Sus scrofa: one gene and its partners. The main gene of each other region encodes a partner of the protein of the gene in region 5 in a complex. Links are inferred from orthologs where the notes say so. Each region holds a gene or a part of one and is shown on either strand. Other genes may lie near its edges.

Region 1 (3,473 bases), on a different chromosome or scaffold from region 5:
GGTTTCAGTAAGGGTTTGTTATTCTTGACCTTTAGAACTTTTAGAGCACTAGAAGTTTATAGCTTGAGTCCTGGAGAAAAAAATTTTGTTTTGTTGTTTTGGTCTTTTTTATTTAGGGCTGTACCAGCAGCATACAGAAGTTCCCGGGCTAGGGGTCAAATTGGAGCTGTAGCTGCCGGCTTATACCATAGCACAGCCACAGCCACTCTAGGTCTGAGTTGCATCTGCCGCCTGCACCACAGCTCGTGGCAACACTGGATCCTTAACCCACTGAGTGAGGTCAGGGGTTGAACCTGCATACTCATGGATACTAGTCAGGTTCATTACTGCTGAGCCACAATAAGAACTCCCAAGAAAAACATTTTGGAATACTTAAGGTGTGGTCTTTCTCCCACCATTTCTTTATAGTTGTAATTACTCTGGTTTCAGAAAAGGAATCATATGCCTTGGAGTCAAATTTTAAAATTTACCCTGGGGTAAATTTTAGATATTTGCCTGTCAGATTTGCTTTTTTCTACCACTGTTGCGCTAAAAGTCTTAACTTGTGCTTGCAATCAGTATTGGCATATATTTCTGTTATCATTCTGTTATCTCGGGAAGAAAAATAATTATTTTGTGTTTCTCTTTAACTGTTGCAACTAAATAAATGCCAAAGGAAGTTTCTTTGCATGATTAAAATATTTCGTTGTTAGTAACTGGCTTAATCCAGGATTTATCATATTTTATTCTCTTGCTCAGTGATCATTATAGAAACATCATCAATGCCAATAAAATCCTGAAAGCTGATAAATCCTTTCTAATTTTGCCACATTTCTTTTGGCCTGTAGCTTGCAGATCAGTTTTGTAATGCCATTGGAGTGTTGCAGCAGTGTGGTCCTCCTGCCTCTTTCAGTAATATTCAGACAACCATTAACAAAGATCAGCCAGCTAATCCTACAGAAGGTAAATAGATTTTTTTTTTTTTTTGGCTTCTTTTAATTTGACTCTCCCTCATTGCCTTTAATCCCATAAAATTAGATTTATTGAAAAATTCATCTTATTCACGGCTTTCTAAAAATGTTATTGTTAGAGAATGTTACTACAAGTTTGTCATAAAAGAAATAAATTTTTGTTAGTTTATATAACACCTCGTAGTTCTTTTTATGTTAAATAATGGATTTTTTACTCCTTTAGAGGAGAATTATATGAATTTAGCTGAATTTTACTTCAGGGACCTTAATAAGAAAGGCATCTCATAAATTCCTTTATTCAAATGATCATCAAATTGTCCTGATACATAATGTACATTATGCTTGATTCCTAACTTGAGTTAATGTTAAAGCTGATTCTCAAACATGTAATAGGATTAATGTGTTAAAATTACACCTTAATCATTAGAAGCCTAGGACAGAAAAAGTTAAGAAGTTTTTTTGTTTCATTAACTTAAAATTTGATTGCTGTTTCTATAAACTTGAGGTTCTCAAATACCCTAAATGAGTACAATCTTTCTCTAGAATATGCCCAGCTATTTGCAGCGCTGATTGCACGAACGGCAAAAGACATTGATGTTTTGATAGATTCCTTACCCAGTGAAGAATCTACAGCTGCTTTACAGGTAAAAATCTCTTTTTCTGGAGTTCCCCGTTGTGGCTCAGAAGTAGTGAACCTAACTAGTATCCATGAGGATTCGGGTTCAGTCCTTAGCCTAACTCAGTGGGTTAAGGATCTGGCATTGTGGTGAGCTGTGTGTTGGTCGCAGATTCGGCTTGGATCCTGTGTTGCTGTGGCTGTGGTGTAGGCTGGAAGCTGCAGCTCTGATTTGACTACTAGCCTGGGAGCTTCCATATGGTTCAGATGCATTTGAATTAAAGGAGATAGCTTTAGTACCCTTTTTCCTTTTTTAAAGAAATTTTTTTTTTTTTTTAATTTTTGGCTGTGCCTATGCCATGTAAAAGTTCCCAGGCCAGGGATTAAACCTGTTCCACAGCAGTGACCTGGCCTGCTACAGTGAGATCTGTATCCCACTGTGCCACAAGAGAACCCCTTTAATTCCTTTTATTATAATATTAAAAGGTACTCTCAATTTTAAAATGGGAATTTTATTGGAAACTACTGTAGTCTATTAAAGACTGCACTGAATATGTATAGTTGTCCAATTTTGAGTTATGAGGAAACTTCCCATTTTCCTCAGTTTGATTCTTTTCCTTGGAAAGAGTGAGAGGAAGGTAGCATTCCGGACGTGGAATAGAGCATAGTGTCTAAAAGCAGTGTGGAAAGGAGTCTCCTATAGCAATCTAGAGAGCTCTCATTGAAAAGTCATCTTTTAAATAGTTCATACAGGGAAAATTCTCAAGTTATATCTGATCTGAGGATTTATGCCACTGAAAAATCTATCACAGTGGTTGCACAGTCATCCAGATTTAGAAGTAGGTACTTCCACTGCAGTTTATTTCCTTAGAAGGAAATAATCTCCAAGTTTTTCATTTGTCAAAAGATTCTTAAATTTATGTCTTATAAAGGCTGCCAGCTTGTATAAGCTAGAAGAAGAAAATCATGAAGCTGCTACATGTCTGGAGGATGTTGTTTATCGAGGGGATATGCTTCTGGAAAAGATACAGAGTGCCCTTGCTGATATTGCGCAGTCACAGCTGAAGACAAGAAGTGGTACCCACAGCCAGTCTCTTCCAGACTCATAGCACCAGTGTACATATCATGTGGCCAAGAAGAGAACTATTTCAGTGCCGTTAAGAATTCTACATCAGATTTAGATGTAAGCCTTATCGATAGTTAGAGAAACATTAAGCACTATGACACGTTATCTTTTTAGCTATTTTTAATAGTCTTCTATTTTCATTTTTAATAAATAAGCTTGTAAAATTGTGATTGAACCAGCTTTAAACTGTCATTATGCTATTATTTTGTATTTTGAGTGAAATTATTGAGGCAGATATTGCACTTACAGTCAGAATATAATTAAACAGATGTACTATAGAATTCTATTGTGACATAATTTGTCTTTATTTTTGTCCTGTTTCTACAGCCTGTACAAGTGAAAACATCCCCCAAGCTAGAGAAGAAGATGGTAAATGCAGAAATGGTGGATATTTGAATTTAGGTTGATATCCTTCTGCCTCTTTAAAAGTGACATTGTAGAGTTCTGGTGCAGTGGATCGGGGATCTAGTGTTGTCACTGCAGTGGCTTGTGTCACTGCTGTGGCAAGGGTTCAGTCCCTGGCCCTGGAACTTCTGCATGCCACGGGCACAGCCAAAAAGAAAAAAATAAAATAAAGGTGACATTGTATAAATTTGGAGCTGGAGCAAGGAATGGTTCTGAAAACCACATTGCTTTTTAAGAAGCAGAGAGTGTGGCCAGATGAAAGATTAAGTCACTTTTGTGGAAGCTTTTTCTTCTTTTTCTTTCTTTCTTTTTTTTTTTTTTTTTTTTTGGTCTTTTTGCCATTTCTTGGGCTGCTCCTGCGGCATATGGAGGTTCC
Region 2 (4,001 bases), on a different chromosome or scaffold from region 5:
GAACAGGTGTAGGGTGTGGGTATATACGGTAGATGGAATCAGAGAACTTTTTTTTTTTTTCTTTTCTAGTTTGAAACATCCAGAAGGAGCCCAGACGCAGTCTGGAGATAAAAAACCAAGAGTTAACAGAAAGACATTTACCGTATGTCTTCTGGTGGGCAAAATCATGCCTGGTTGAGAACCACTGTAGAAATGGTATTTAAAGCTGTGGAATTGACTGAGACCATCCAAGGGAGAACACGAAACAGGTCTAAAATTACTGATCAGCAGGCAACAACGATTGTTACAGATAATTCTTTTTGACCTCGCAGTACTTGACAATTTCTGGAATTAATTGCCAGTATTTTTAAAACTTGAGAGATTTCATGTAAAAATATGGGGGTTTGCCCTTGAAACATCAAGAAACTGAGAAACAATGAATCTTCTTTCCCACATGAATGCTAGTGGCAGGAAGCTTTCAAGTCTGGCAGGCAGATGCTCAGTTTGCCCTAATCCCTGCCTCAGAGTGCTTCACTCTTTATATTGCCTGCCTTTTCCCTTTGGTATTTGAGTTTGTGATTCTCATTTAGGGCAGCCCTCTGAGGCATGCCAACATTAAAATTTGGATAGAGAAGAAAGGGCGGTAAAGGATACTGAGAAGGAGTGGCCAGTGGGGTAGAGGAAAATGAAAATGTAGGATCACTGAAGCTGGAGGAGAAGCGGAGTGTATTGCAAATTAAGGAAATGCTGCTGAGAGTTTTGACTAGTATTCATGAGGATGCAGGTTCAATCCCTGGCCTTGCTTAGTGGATTATGGATCTGGCATTGCCACAAACTGGTATAGGTCTCATATCCAGCGTGGCTGTGGCTGACAGCTGCAGCTCTGATTCGACCTCTAGCCTGGGACTTATATATGCCGCAGGTGCGGCCATTAAAAAAAAAAAAAAAAAAAAAAAAAGAGAATGCTAAGAGATTAAGATCCCCTTAAAGTCCATGGGATTTGGTCATGTGGAGATTGTTGATGACCTTGATGAGTAGTTTTTGTGGAGGTAGGAGGTTGATACCATACTGGGTAGTGACAAAATGAATGAGGGGAAGGCTGGTACAGCAGTAATTGTGGTTGGTTTAGTTCGAGTAACTCATGATGCCCACGGCCACTGCCTCACTGACTCTCAGCAGCATCTTGTTCGTCACCTCTGTGGCTTGGTGGAAACTTGGAGCTACTGGGCAGCTGCCTTTAGTACCTCATACATTCCAAGTATAAAACGGCATCCAGTATTTTACCTGTTATCTCTGACGTTGGGTGGTGTCATATCTTTTTTTTTTTTTTCCTTTTTAGGGTCACACCTGCAGCATATGGAAATTCCCAGGTTAGGGGTCGAATTGTAGCTGCAGATGCTGGCCTGTACCACAGCAGCACCAGATCATAGCTGAGTCTGCGACTTCCACCATAGCTCACAGCAATGCCAGATCCTTAACCTACTGAGCGAGGCCAGGGATCGAACCTGAGTCCTCATGGATACTAGTCGGGCTCATTACCACTGAGCCACAATGGGAACTTCCAGTGTTATGTCTTGAAAATCTGATAAGATCAGTCTAAGTGAGCACTCGAGATCTTACCATTTTTTTTTTTGATATACCTAAGCTTAAAATGGAATAAATAGAGGTTATTGTGGCTCTTGAAGATATATTTGGATTTGAAATTTCTTTAGTGGATGTAGAAAAGTTAACGTGTCTATAAAAAATAGTTGAGTACATTGCAGAAAAAGAGGGTATGGAATTGGGTCATTTTATCAAAAAAGCACAGACGATGTGAACTTGTCTGGAATATAGCAATTTTAATTTTGTCAAGGTGTTTCTTAGACCATAAGTTAGCGTTTGCTTTTGGAAATGCATCTATAATATAAAATAAAAGTGTTGTAACCTCAGCTGGGGAGACAGCATGTGTAGTTGACTATAAAGAGAGGTAGAGAAATAGGGCATAACTGGTGAGGGGTGTGGAAACCAGAAGATTTCCTTTATAGCTGAAAATACAATCAACTCTTGAACAACTCAAGAGATTAGGGGTGCCTCCCCTCTGTGCAATTGGAAACCTGAGTATAGATTTTCCAGTTCCAACCTGTGTTCAAGGGTCATCTGTATGCTACAGTATATTTTTTGTGCCTGTGAAAGTATTAGGTAGAAAAGAAAAGAAAAAAAATCTGGATAGTTGAGTATATAATGCTAATTAGAAAAGGATGGCAGCCTTTCTGTGTTATAAATGTTAGTTTTAGAAATAAAAGAACTCTTTTTGTCCTGGGCCCCAAACTGCCGTGAGAAAAAAAGGGAAATAACCTTGTTTGTAGTCACTAAGTGTGGCAGGTTTGTTCTGTAGCTCTACTCTCAATCTTCGGTCTGTTTCTGTAGGTTTGTGATCTTCTGCAATGGGTGAGCCACAGCAAGTGAGTGCCCTTCCGCCACCTCCGATGCAGTACATCAAGGAATACACAGATGAAAACATTCAGGAAGGCCTCGCTCCCAAGCCTCCACCTCCAATAAAAGACAGTTACATGATGTTTGGCAACCAGTTCCAATGTGATGATCTTATCATCCGCCCTTTGGAAAGTCAGGGTATCGAACGGCTTCATCCTATGCAGTTTGATCACAAGAAAGAACTGAGAAAACTCAATATGTCTATCCTTATTAATTTCTTAGATCTCTTAGATATCTTGATAAGGAGTCCTGGGAGTATAAAACGGGAAGAGAAGCTAGAAGATCTTAAGCTGCTTTTTGTGCATGTACATCATCTCATAAATGAATACCGGCCCCACCAAGCCAGAGAGACCCTGAGAGTCATGATGGAGGTGCAGAAGCGGCAACGCCTTGAGACAGCAGAGAGGTTTCAGAAGCATCTGGAACGAGTCATTGAGATGATTCAGAATTGCTTGGCTTCTTTGCCTGATGACTTGCCCCATTCAGAAGCAGGGATGAGAGTAAAAGCTGAACCAATGGACGCTGATGATAGCAACAATTGTACTGGACAGAGTGACCAACAAAGAGAAAATTCAGGTCATAGGAGAGACCAGATTATAGAGAAAGATGCTGCCTTGTGTGTCCTCATTGATGAAATGAATGAAAGACCGTGAAAGATGTTTCTTTTCCTTGCTGATTTTTTCCTTTCAGTAAATAGCATATATATTAGTTAATTCACTTTTAGAGAATTCTTTGAAGAGATACAACTAGTAGAAGGCACGCGAACAGCTTGACTCTCCAGCTTTATCAGTTGTGGGACGTCACAGGCAGTATTTTCGTCTGTGGCAAGCATAGCTAGATTCCTACTTAGCTTAAATGTAGTGCCCCAGTGAGAGTAATCACCGTGAAGGGCAGTGTTCGCTGCTATTGGGTGGAACGTCCCTGTTTTCAGAGGTGCAGTGAGCTGGAAGATATCCTCAGTAATTGCAAGCTTTCGTCCTTGGAAAGTAGATTTGTCATTTGCTTTAAGAGTGATAAATAATAAAGGATATCAAACTATGTAAATGTGAACTTAGGAAATCTTTTGATTTATTCCTCTTAAAAGATGGCTTAATCTCTTTAAAAAAAAATAGTGTTACATGTTAAAAGAGAGAAACCCCATAAGAGTTATAAAACAGTAATTTTATTTTTCCTCTTGACTGCGCCTTATAAATATTCTATCCCAGCCTCTTGGTCCTTATTCTGGATGGGTTCCAGAACTTTCTTCTGGCCACTGTGACAAGTCCTTTGATCACTTATAGTTATATTCACTTTAATAATTAAGGTGCCCATACATTACATTTCCTAAACTTGGAGTTGCTTAAGGCTGGAAGCCTGCTATGGGTAGGGGGCTTGGTGGCAGAGACTGCTGGATGTCCACTGGAGATTCTTGCTCCCCTGAGATGTGCTGCCCTGCCAGGGACTTCATTTCTCCATTCCCCTTGCATATCTGTGAGGCCACGTGACTGAGTTCTTAACAGTGAAATATGGTGTAAAAATCTAGGCCTGCCCCATAAAAATTTTTTGCCTCG
Region 3 (3,289 bases), on a different chromosome or scaffold from region 5:
AGTGAGGCCGGGGGTCGAATCTGAGTCCTCATGGATGCTAGTTGGGTTCGTTAACCATTGAGCCACGATGGGAACTCCTCTGTGGTGATGCCTTTTTTTTTTCTTTTTTTGTCTTTTCACACCCATACCTGCAGCATATGGAGGTTCCCAGGCTAGGGGTCTAATTGGAGCTGTAGCCTCGACCTACACCACAGCCACAGCAACGCGGGATCCGAGCTGTGTCTGCGACCTACACTACAGCTCACCCCCCTGGCAACACCGGATCCTTAACCCACTGAGCGAGGCCAGGGATCAAACCCGCAACCTCATGGTTCCTAGTCGGATTTGTTAGCCACTGTGCCACAACGGGACCTCCTGTGGTGATATTCTTGATTCCATCATTCTCTGTTCATTTATTAGTTGGAATTCACTTGAAGGAACGTTTCCTTGTTTCTGATTTCTTTCTTCATTTTAAAAGGTTAAATCAATATGGATTCTTTATCTTGTGGATTGTAATTTTTTATTTTCTTATGCTAGTGATCCCAGATGTAGCCAGTGGGAACCCCTTCAAATTGGCTCTTGAGGACTTTTGACATAGCCGCCTAATCTTTAGAGCATTTTCCTTTCTGGCACTACATATATTCCAGGCTCATCTTGTTCTTTCCCTGTGTTAGCTATGCCAACAAACCCTGGATAATGCTATTTAAAACCCACGACCTGGATACTCAGTGTACTCTTGGTACTGGAGTGCCATTGCTTCTAGGCCTTCTCTGCACGTAAAGCAAGGAACAGTGTGTGTGTGTGTGTGTGTGTGTGTGTGTGTGTGTGTGTGTGTGTGTGTGTCTATGTGTCTATTTCTGTATCTGTCTCTATATGTTAAAAGCCACTCAGTTCATACTGATGTTTTCAATTCCAGCTCAACAACAGGATTCTTTCTAGCCTCCCCCCTTCCTTATCTGAGATTCCTTTCCTGAGAGCTGGATATTTGGCTATTTACAGTGTACATACTTATGTATTTGCTCAATCTTAGCATATATGTACATAATTTCAAAATTGTTATATCCCTATGGAAAACTAGGATACAATATTTGTGCATAGTTCTTTCTGAAACTGACTCACTTTTAAAATAAAAGCTGTCTTTTTATCATTATTTATGGAAAACCAATAGGTGTTAATTAAACCCACAATTACTAAAATAAATAGTGTTCATGTTTATCACCTTGAAAACCACTGGAATAGAATAGCATGATTTGCCCCCAAATGTTGACTGTTTACCAGTTATTGTGTAGTCTTAGGCAAGTTATTTAATCTTTCTAAATTTAAGTTTGCTCACTTTTGAAAATTTTGCTGGCTTTTGATGATAAGCTTTTCTGTATAAGCAAAAAAAAAAAAAAAAGAACTGTACTATCAAGATAGACTAAGTTAATGTTAGGTTGCAGGATCATCTGGTATGGTAACACAAATGATACCGTAGAAATGGTAGGCTGCAGGATCGTTTTTGAATAACAACTAGAGCATGGTGTTATTGACTTAATTATGTTGATAATTAACTTATAAACTTAACCCCAGGTACCCTCAGTGTTTACACATGTTAGAACTGCTCCAATATGAACACTTCCGCAAGGAGCTGGTGAATGCTCAATGTGCAAAATTCATTGATGAGCAGCAAATTCTGCATTGGCAGCACTATTCCCGGAAGCGGATGCGCCTTCAGCAAGCCCTGGCAGAGCAGCAACAGCAAAATAACACATCAGGAAAGTGAAAAGCTGATCCAGACCAGGCTCTTACGACATGTATATATTGCTTTTGTACATGAAGACAGAAAAAGACTCTTGCTCCGAACCTTTATTGTGACAGCACCCAGAACCGATAGTGTGCTATTTAATTGAACTAATTTTTTATTCTCAATAGATTATTTCTTTTAAACTAGAATTGTTCTTTCTCTGTGGATCTGTAAGCTTTCATTAGTATTTAATAGTCAACTGACTAAGAGTAGAAATGTTAGGTGCTTCAGACCAATTTTAGAGTTGGGGAGCTGGGGCAAGGGGAGAGCCACCAAATATCCCAAAGTTTAAGCAAAACTGTTCATGATGAACAGTGGGACCAGGGGCAAATCTGTCTCTAGGAACCTTGCTGTCCCCTCAGATCAGCTACGGCACCCTTCTAAGGAGTGAGAGAAGTGGAATCAGTGACCTCTACACATCAAAGCAGGAACTGCATAAATTTCCTACATTCTGCAGGGCAGGAGGCATACCTGGAGCACCAGCTACTTTGCAGGAGAGCCTTAAGGGAGAATTGAGGTCAGGGAGTGTTTGTGGTTAATTACTAATAGGACTCTCGACCTTAGACTATAACAAAGGTGAGGTGCCTCAGATACTTGTGCTCATTTGGGAAAGCTAACTTTTTTTTTTTGGCAGATACCACAAACCAGGCACTATGTTAAGTGCTTAGTTGCATTCTCATTTTATCCTTAGAACAGTCCTTGTTCATAAAGGAGAACACTTAGGTGTAGACAAGTTAGGAACCTTGCCTGTGGTTACACAGCTAGTAGGTGATAGTCAGTGAGACTGGCTAAAAGGCTAGGTTATATGGCCTCCCACCACTAGGTTGTATGGCTTCTGACCTCTCCGCCACCTGCCTCATCCCGCACAATCAGACAGCTGTAAAACAAAAGCAGGGGCTGGATTAGATGTGCCTTGCTATCCTTCAGTGGTTAGATTAAGTTCTACATTCTAAAGCCAAAGATGTTTTAGGATAACAGTTCTTTTGTAAGTTCATGGAATTTAAAGTAAAAGATCCTAACTTCTTTAGAAGTCTGGAAACTATCTTCTTCACTATCAGCGGCTTTTAGATATTTCTGCCCATCTCCAATAATATCCTCCCCTTTGGGCTACTACTGCTACTCCTGAAGACTTAGTTTATCCTTAGTTCAAACATATCCATATATTAAAGCAGACTAAGGGTTCATGAGCATTTTAATTGTACTCTCTATTATTTAGACATACACAGTTTTTCTTTTAATCATCATTTATTTATTGCTAACATGAATTCAAAGCAAGTGTGCAGTTTCTTTTATACTAGAGCAAATCAGGAAATCAAGACACAATTGCCATCATCAAATCTTACTCTTCAGAGAACAACATCTCCACGAGGTTGGTCTGAAGACACTCAGATTCTACCAGTTTTTGAGGCTGTAAAAGAAGAACAGTCTTATTTTAACCCATCACTACAAAAATGTTATTAGGAGGGGAATGAGTTCTGCCTTGAATGACACAGATCTTGGAACAGAAATTATCAACTAGTTGTAACA
Region 4 (2,349 bases), on a different chromosome or scaffold from region 5:
CTACTTTCCTGAGCACGTTCTGACACCTTCTTACCACCACCAGGCCGTCTGTCCTGGACAGCTTTGCCTTGCTTTCCGGACAGTTAAACACTCTGAACAAAGTCTTGAAGCATGAAAAGACACCGCTGTTCCGTAACCAGGTCATCATCCCTCTGGTGCTGTCCCCAGACCGAGATGAAGACCTCATGGTAAGAGGCAGAGGGTGCAACTTGGGCAGTTGAATCCTTAGACGAGGACTTAGAGCACAGCTGTTGGGCGGCTCTTCTGGAAGTTCTGAATGTGCAGTAGGACGTCACCATGAGAAGTGAGACCTGGGAGTTCCCATCGTGGCTCAGTGGGTTAGGAACCCGACTGGCATCCATGAGGATGCGGGTTTGATCCCTGGCCTTGCTCTGGGTTAAGGATCTGCTGTTGCCGCGAGCTGTGGTGTAGGTTGCAGAGGCGCCTGGGATCTGGCGTGGCTGTGGCTGTGGCGTAGGCCAGCGGCTGTAGCTCTGATTGGACCCCTAGCCTGGGAACCTCTGTATGCCGTGGGTGCGGCCCTAGGAAGAAAAAAAGAAAATCAGTGAGGGCTGCATTTTGATTGTGGAGCCCTTGCTTTTTCCTTCTGGAGTTGGGAGAGCCACTCCTAAATAGCATTGAATTTACTCCAGGTCTGCATCACCAGGGCCGACACAGTTCTCGAACAAAAAGTATGTTCTTTTGTGACGTTCTCTCTTTCGGTCTTTGATGAAAGTGTGGCAGAGGGAGGTTTATCCCTGGGTCCCGTAGAGGTGGGGATGGGAGGAGACAGAAATGAAGGCTGGAGTGAGGGGAACAGTGTCCTGGAAAAAGCCGGATATTGTAAGTGTCTGGTTGTTTTCCCTGAAAGTGCAGTGTCTGTCTGGAGAAGGAACGATGTGTGTATCAGGCAAGAGGGAGCCTTCCTGGCCGGCACAGTAGATGAGTAAAATCTGTGTTACAGCGGCAGACGGAAGGACGGGTGCCTGTGTTTAGCCATGAGGTGGTCCCTGACCATCTGAGAACGAAGCCTGACCCTGAGGTGGAAGAGCAAGAGAAGCAGCTGACCACGGACGCTGCCCGCATCGGTGCTGATGCGGCTCAGGTGGGACTGGGTCACTGCCCTGCTGCCCCCTACCCCAGGTTTTATCCTGGGAAGCTGGGCGTTCTCCCTGCTCCTGGTAGGGATGTACAGTTGGTTTCACCCAGGTTGCCCTCGAAAGAGCACAAGGAAGAAACCTCCCTGGAATCATTTCTTGCTTGCCCTAATCTCTGCACACATTTATGTGTTTTACAGAAGCAGATCCAGAGCTTGAATAAAATGTGCTCAAACCTTCTGGAGAAAATCAGCAAAGAGGAACGAGAATCAGAGGGTGGAGGTACGGAGGGAGCGGCGGCAGAGCGGAGGAGGGAAGAGGGCTGAGGTCACTGGAGGAGGCAGGGTGGGTTTTTGTTTGTTTTTGTTTTTGTTTTTATTTGGCCACACCTGCAGCACACAGACGTTTCCGGGCCAGGGATGGAACCGGTGCCACAGCAGCGACCCAAGCCGCTGCGGTGACAACCCCGGATCCTGAACCCACTGTGCCACGGGAGAACTGTGGAAGGGCGGTTTCGGTCGTGGTGCAGGGGGGACGTCAGGCTGTGCTGCTTCGGAAAGAGCCTGCGTGCATTCGTCAGCCTTTTACACTCACGGCTGGCCTGGAGCAGGTGGAGGAGGTGGGCCCAGGGGGCAGGGAGGAGTCAGGTGGTCCGGGGGTCCTCCGGCTCTGCCTCGGAGCTGCCCGGGAGTCCAGGTGCTGCCGAAGTCAGAGCTCCGAGCCCCGGCACTCACACTGGTCTGTGCTGCTCAGTCCGTCCGGGCCAGAGGCGTACCTCAGGGTCCCCTCGCCTTTTGCTTCAGGTCTCCGGCCGAACAAGCAGACCTTTAACCCAGCAGACACTAACGCCTTAGTGGCAGCCGTTGCCTTTGGGAAGGGACTGTCTAACTGGAGGCCTTCAGGCAGCAGTGGTCCCGGCCAGCCGGGCCAGCCGGGCGCCGGGACAGTCCTCGCAGGAGCCTCAGGGTTACAGCAGGTGCAGATGGCCGGAGCGCCAAGTCAGCAGCAGCCGATGCTCAGTGGGGTGCAGATGGCCCAAGCAGGTCAGCCAGGTAAGGTGACAGGGGTTGGCATGGTGGCAGACCTTGGGCAGGGGATGGGAGTGAGCTGGGTTATCTAGGCCCCCAGCAGCTGGAGATGTTCTCCTCTCCTCCCTTGGACTGTGACCCAGAACAAGTTTGAGGAGTAAAGCTCTCATTCGAGCCTCCGTTTATAATAGGCAGCAGGCAGTGAGGAAGACCTCTGACTAGCA
Region 5 (4,216 bases):
GTGGCTCTGGCTACAGCTCCGATTGGACTCCTGGCCTGGGAACCTCCATATGCTGTGGGAGCCGCCCAAGAAATAGCAAAAAAAGACAAAAAAAAAAAAAAAAAAAAATACAAGGACCAGGCTTACTCATCTCTCTCCTCTTCTCATCATATGTCTCCTTTATACCCAGGATTTGCCCAGAACAGATATTCAAGTGATTAATGTAAATAGGTACAATCAAAATAAGTTAAGGTTAAATAAACTGCTGGTAGACATCAATCACTAACTAAAGTCAAGTCAACCTCTCTATGCTTTAGTTTTTCAGCTTTAAAAAGCAGATAACAATGCCTATTTCAAGGGGCTATTGTAAGTATTAAACACTAAAACATATCTAACTGCACTGTGAATTTCAAGGTCTGTAACAAATCATTTCCCTCAGATATTTTTGGGCCATACCCATGGTACAAGGAAGTTCTAAGGCCAGGAATCGAATCCAAGCCGAAGCTGCAACCTATTGCTACAGCTGTGGCAATGCCAGATCCTTAACTGGCTAGGCCACAGTAGGAACTCCTTCTTCAGCTCTTTTTTTTTTTTTTTTTAAATCTTTACTCTCTTAGGGCTGCATTTGTGGCATATGTAAGTTCCTAGGCTAGGGGTTGAATGGGAGCTGTAGCCACTGGCCTACAATCACAGCCACAGCAACGCCGGATCCTTAACCCATTGAGCAAGGCCAGGGATCGAACCTGTGTCCTCATGGATACCAGTCAGATTCGTTTCCTCTGAGCCGTGACAGGAACTCCCCTCCTTCAGCTCTTGATGTAGCAGTAGGACTTGGGATGAACTAAATGTCATCCTGGAGACTTAACATGTCCAAAATGACTTGATATCCATCTCCTCAAACCTGTCCTTTCCTGATCTTAGCACTACCATCCACCTAATTATTCAAGCCAAACATTTCCAAACTGCCCTCAATTCCTCTGTCCTTCAATTCTATTTTCAATCCTGCATTCCTGTCAGTTCTACCTCTAACATTTATTTGGCATCCATTTACTTCTCTCCTCTACTGCTATTTCCTAGTTCAAACTATCATCTCTTTCCTGAACTACTAAGCTGTAACTTCTGACCAATTTTCCCACTTTTCTTCTTTTTTTTTAAGGGCAGCACCCAAGGCATATGGAGGTTCCCAGGCTAAGGGTCAAATCAGAGCTACAGGTGCCGGCCTACACCAGAGCCACAGCAATGCTAGAGCTGTGCTGCGTCTGCAACCTACACCACAGCACAGGACAACACTGGATCCTTAACCCACTGAGTGAGGCTAGGGATCAAACCCACAACCTCATGCTTCCTAGTCGGATTCATTTCTGCTGTGCTATGACGGGAACTCCCCCACTTTGCTTCCTTAATAGAGCTGCTCGAATGATTGAAAATAAGCAAATAAGTTAGAAGTTAGATCACTTCAGACTCTTGTGTCAAAATGGTTCCCCCTGAACTTAAAATGTCTTATAGAGGCCTCTGCCTACTCTCCCACCTTCATCTCCTATCGCTCTTTCCCTGTTCACTTCCCCGGAGTGCAAGTGGTTTTCTGTCCCTCAAATATTCAAGGTTATTCTCACATTGGGCCTTCTAATCTCATTTTTTGTATCTAGAGTTCTCTCTCCTCCCACTCATAAATGGCTAGCTCTTCCTTTGTGCTTATATTTTAGCTCTAATGTTATCTACTCAGAAAGGGCTCTCCTGATCACTCTAGCTAAAGCAGTTCTGCCCCCTCAATTCTTTATCACATTTCCCCCTTGTAGCCATAACCACTATCTGATACTATCTGTTTATCCGCAGATATCTGTTTATCACTCTTTGACTCCTCCACTGGCAGGTAAACTCCCAAACAGGCAAGGATCTTGTCAGTTTTGTTCACAGCTGTATCTTCAGCAATTGGAAGAGTGCTTGGTACACAGAGTGGGTGCGCAACAAAATAATTTTTTGAATGAAAGAACCTGGTTTAATTCTAATCACTTCTTCGAACACATTTTGAAACCCCGAGGCCCAGAGGAAGAAAGACAACATGTCCCAAACCAACAGGAAGTTTGAAGCAGATCTGGAACTGGGTCCGCAGGGATGTTAAATCAGGACCCTCAAATACCAAACTCAAAGCTAGGATAATCTTTAGGGAGTCAAAAACCAGCGTCAGGGGCAGGATCGGGCGTGAAAGGTGGTCAGGGAGATCCACTCTCTTCCCACCCCTAATCCATCCCAATTCCAATCATTCTTTCGGTTGTGAATCCTCAGAACCTCTTCTAGTATAGTGTTCCGAAATCGCGCCACGCGTTGCCTAGGTTACCCCTCACCCCAGTCGGAAGGCTGAGAGCCACGCCCCGCCTCTCCTCGCTATGATCTGATTGGCTGGCTTTGACCAGGCCTTGTACTCACCCGGCAGTTCCCGCATTAGGTAGAAGGGGCCACAACCGGCCGCTGACTTGTCGGAGCCGGGAGCGGCTGTGGCCGCGGTAGAGGGCGGGGCGGGGCCCGGCCCCCCGCCCGGAGGAGGAGGCGGTGGGGGTGGAGGTTTTCCAGGTCCGAAGCCAAGTGCGGTCGGGGGCGGTGGTGGGTCAGCCTGAGCTCCGAACAGCGCCGTGAAATTCTCCATCGCCTCCTCCGCCCCGGCGCTGTCTCGGTGTCTGGCGTTGGTGACGTTCATTGGTCAATCTTTTCACAGAGTACCGCCCTCCTCTTTCAGGAGCCTCTCACCATTGGGTTGCCTCGGGCCCTTCCTACCTTCTTCCTGCAACTACTTCCGTCGCCTTCTGAGAACGTTCCGGAAGTACTATTTAACTTTATTTAAATTCTCCTGTATCTCCTACTTGCCGCAGTCGCATATGTCCAATAAAACGATTTAGGTGGAAAAAAAGACAGCTAGATTAGCCAATAAAATATCAAAGCCCTTTCTCCATTTTTAACCTGACGCAGAAGCCAGTCAGAGATCTGCTTCCGGATCTAGAGGCGGTGCATCCGAGACTAGGCCCAATGGAAGCACAATGATGGGAGAGGCGGGACCAGGCTCACGGACTCCGTGGAGCGGCTGGCGCCGCTAGAGCCGGGAAGATGGCGGTTCTCGCGCCTTTAATTGCTCTTATTTATTCGATACCTCGACTATCACGATGGCTGGCCCGACCTTACTACCTTCTGTCAGCCCTCCTCTCTGCTGCCTTCCTACTCGTGAGGAAGCTGCCCCCTGTCTGCTACAATCTCCCCACGCAACGCGAAGACGGCAACCCGTGTGACTTTGACTGGGTGAGCGACCCCCCGCCTTAGGACCCCGCGACCTTGACACCCTGTCCTAGGTTGCATCTACGAGATGCGAGGTTCACCTGTTTGAGAACACCTGAGGTTCCCAACCTGTAGCGGACTTAAGCTATTAAGAATCTAGAGCCTGGGCGGTCGTCGAGTGTAAACCTCTTCACGTTTAAGATGGGAATACAGCGAGTTAGCCTGCCGGGGTCTTCTGACTCCTGAGTCCAAGGTCCTTTCCGTCTCACAATTCGTACCTACCCAAACGAGGCATCTGCACTGTTTTACAGTGCTGCTCTCGTTATGTAAAGCCTCTTGAGGAATCAGTGAGGTAAACAAGGCAAGTAGTAGTAATCTCGTTTCACTGATGAAGAAATTGATCTCGGCGTAGTTAGGAGACTTGTCCAAGGTCACACAACTAGTGAGTGGCTGGGACTTGAAACCACTCTTCTGGCCAAAGCAGCAGCACCATCAGTCATTTTAATTCAGTTAACAACTGCAGAGGGAGGACTGTATGCTAGGCACTGTGCTGCATCCTGAGAATGTAAAAATGAATAAAGTTTTAGGCCTATTGAAATGGAATTGTAAAAAAAATTCATTGTAAAGAAATCAATCTGAACTCTCTTGCAGTACTTCCTAAGTAGAAGTGGAAGGACCACTCAGAAAAATAAGATGAAGTTCTGTGCCCCCTTCTGTATAGCTGAATCTGTGTTACGAGGAAGGAGGGCCTTCCTGAGTTTTTGTCTTTTTTTTTTTCCAGGTCCCAGAATGAGTCTTGACTTTTGACAGAACTTACTTCCTTACTTTTATTCTCCTTCCCTTGTTTACTTTTTCGTACTTCCGCCGTTCTTTCCCAGTGTTATTAAGTAGCTCATGTATAGCTGTGGTGCTTCAAAAGATCCATTTGGGGGGCAGGGGGGCGAACCTGCGGGGTATGGAGGTTCCCAGGCTAGGG

The links. The genes of interacting proteins can lie anywhere in the genome.
Region 1: MED19 (region 5) and MED21 share a complex: the UniProt entries of both Homo sapiens proteins name them as parts of the mediator complex. The link is inferred for Sus scrofa from reciprocal best matches to the Homo sapiens genes MED19 and MED21.
Region 2: MED19 (region 5) and MED7 share a complex: the UniProt entries of both Homo sapiens proteins name them as parts of the mediator complex. The link is inferred for Sus scrofa from reciprocal best matches to the Homo sapiens genes MED19 and MED7.
Region 3: MED19 (region 5) and MED31 share a complex: the UniProt entries of both Homo sapiens proteins name them as parts of the mediator complex. The link is inferred for Sus scrofa from reciprocal best matches to the Homo sapiens genes MED19 and MED31.
Region 4: MED19 (region 5) and MED8 share a complex: the UniProt entries of both Homo sapiens proteins name them as parts of the mediator complex. The link is inferred for Sus scrofa from reciprocal best matches to the Homo sapiens genes MED19 and MED8.

What each region holds. Positions count from the first base shown.
Region 1 is NC_010447.5:46,729,909-46,733,381, reverse strand, and holds the end of MED21 (mediator of RNA polymerase II transcription subunit 21), read left to right. Parts: intron 1-827; coding exon 828-942; intron 943-1,493; coding exon 1,494-1,594; intron 1,595-2,498; coding exon 2,499-2,675; 3' UTR 2,676-2,973; downstream 2,974-3,473. UniProt on the Homo sapiens protein: Component of the Mediator complex, a coactivator involved in the regulated transcription of nearly all RNA polymerase II-dependent genes.
Region 2 is NC_010458.4:66,117,596-66,121,596, forward strand, and holds the end of MED7 (mediator of RNA polymerase II transcription subunit 7), read left to right. Parts: intron 1-69; 5' UTR 70-142; intron 143-146; exon of another isoform or gene 147-248; intron 249-2,385; 5' UTR 2,386-2,402; coding exon 2,403-3,104; 3' UTR 3,105-3,501; downstream 3,502-4,001. UniProt on the Homo sapiens protein: Component of the Mediator complex, a coactivator involved in the regulated transcription of nearly all RNA polymerase II-dependent genes.
Region 3 is NC_010454.4:50,731,681-50,734,969, forward strand, and holds the end of MED31 (mediator of RNA polymerase II transcription subunit 31), read left to right. Parts: intron 1-1,548; coding exon 1,549-1,741; 3' UTR 1,742-2,789; downstream 2,790-3,289. Other genes in the region: TXNDC17 (thioredoxin domain-containing protein 17), read right to left, coding at 3,102-3,170. UniProt on the Homo sapiens protein: Component of the Mediator complex, a coactivator involved in the regulated transcription of nearly all RNA polymerase II-dependent genes.
Region 4 is NC_010448.4:167,864,363-167,866,711, forward strand, and holds part of MED8 (mediator of RNA polymerase II transcription subunit 8), read left to right. Parts: intron 1-43; coding exon 44-188; intron 189-653; coding exon 654-692; intron 693-964; coding exon 965-1,105; intron 1,106-1,297; coding exon 1,298-1,379; intron 1,380-1,900; coding exon 1,901-2,149; intron 2,150-2,349. UniProt on the Homo sapiens protein: Component of the Mediator complex, a coactivator involved in the regulated transcription of nearly all RNA polymerase II-dependent genes.
Region 5 is NC_010444.4:13,239,895-13,244,110, reverse strand, and holds the start of MED19 (mediator of RNA polymerase II transcription subunit 19), read right to left. Parts: upstream 2,801-4,216; 5' UTR 2,672-2,800; coding exon 2,404-2,671; intron 1-2,403. Other genes in the region: TMX2 (thioredoxin-related transmembrane protein 2), read left to right, coding at 3,076-3,264. UniProt on the Homo sapiens protein: Component of the Mediator complex, a coactivator involved in the regulated transcription of nearly all RNA polymerase II-dependent genes.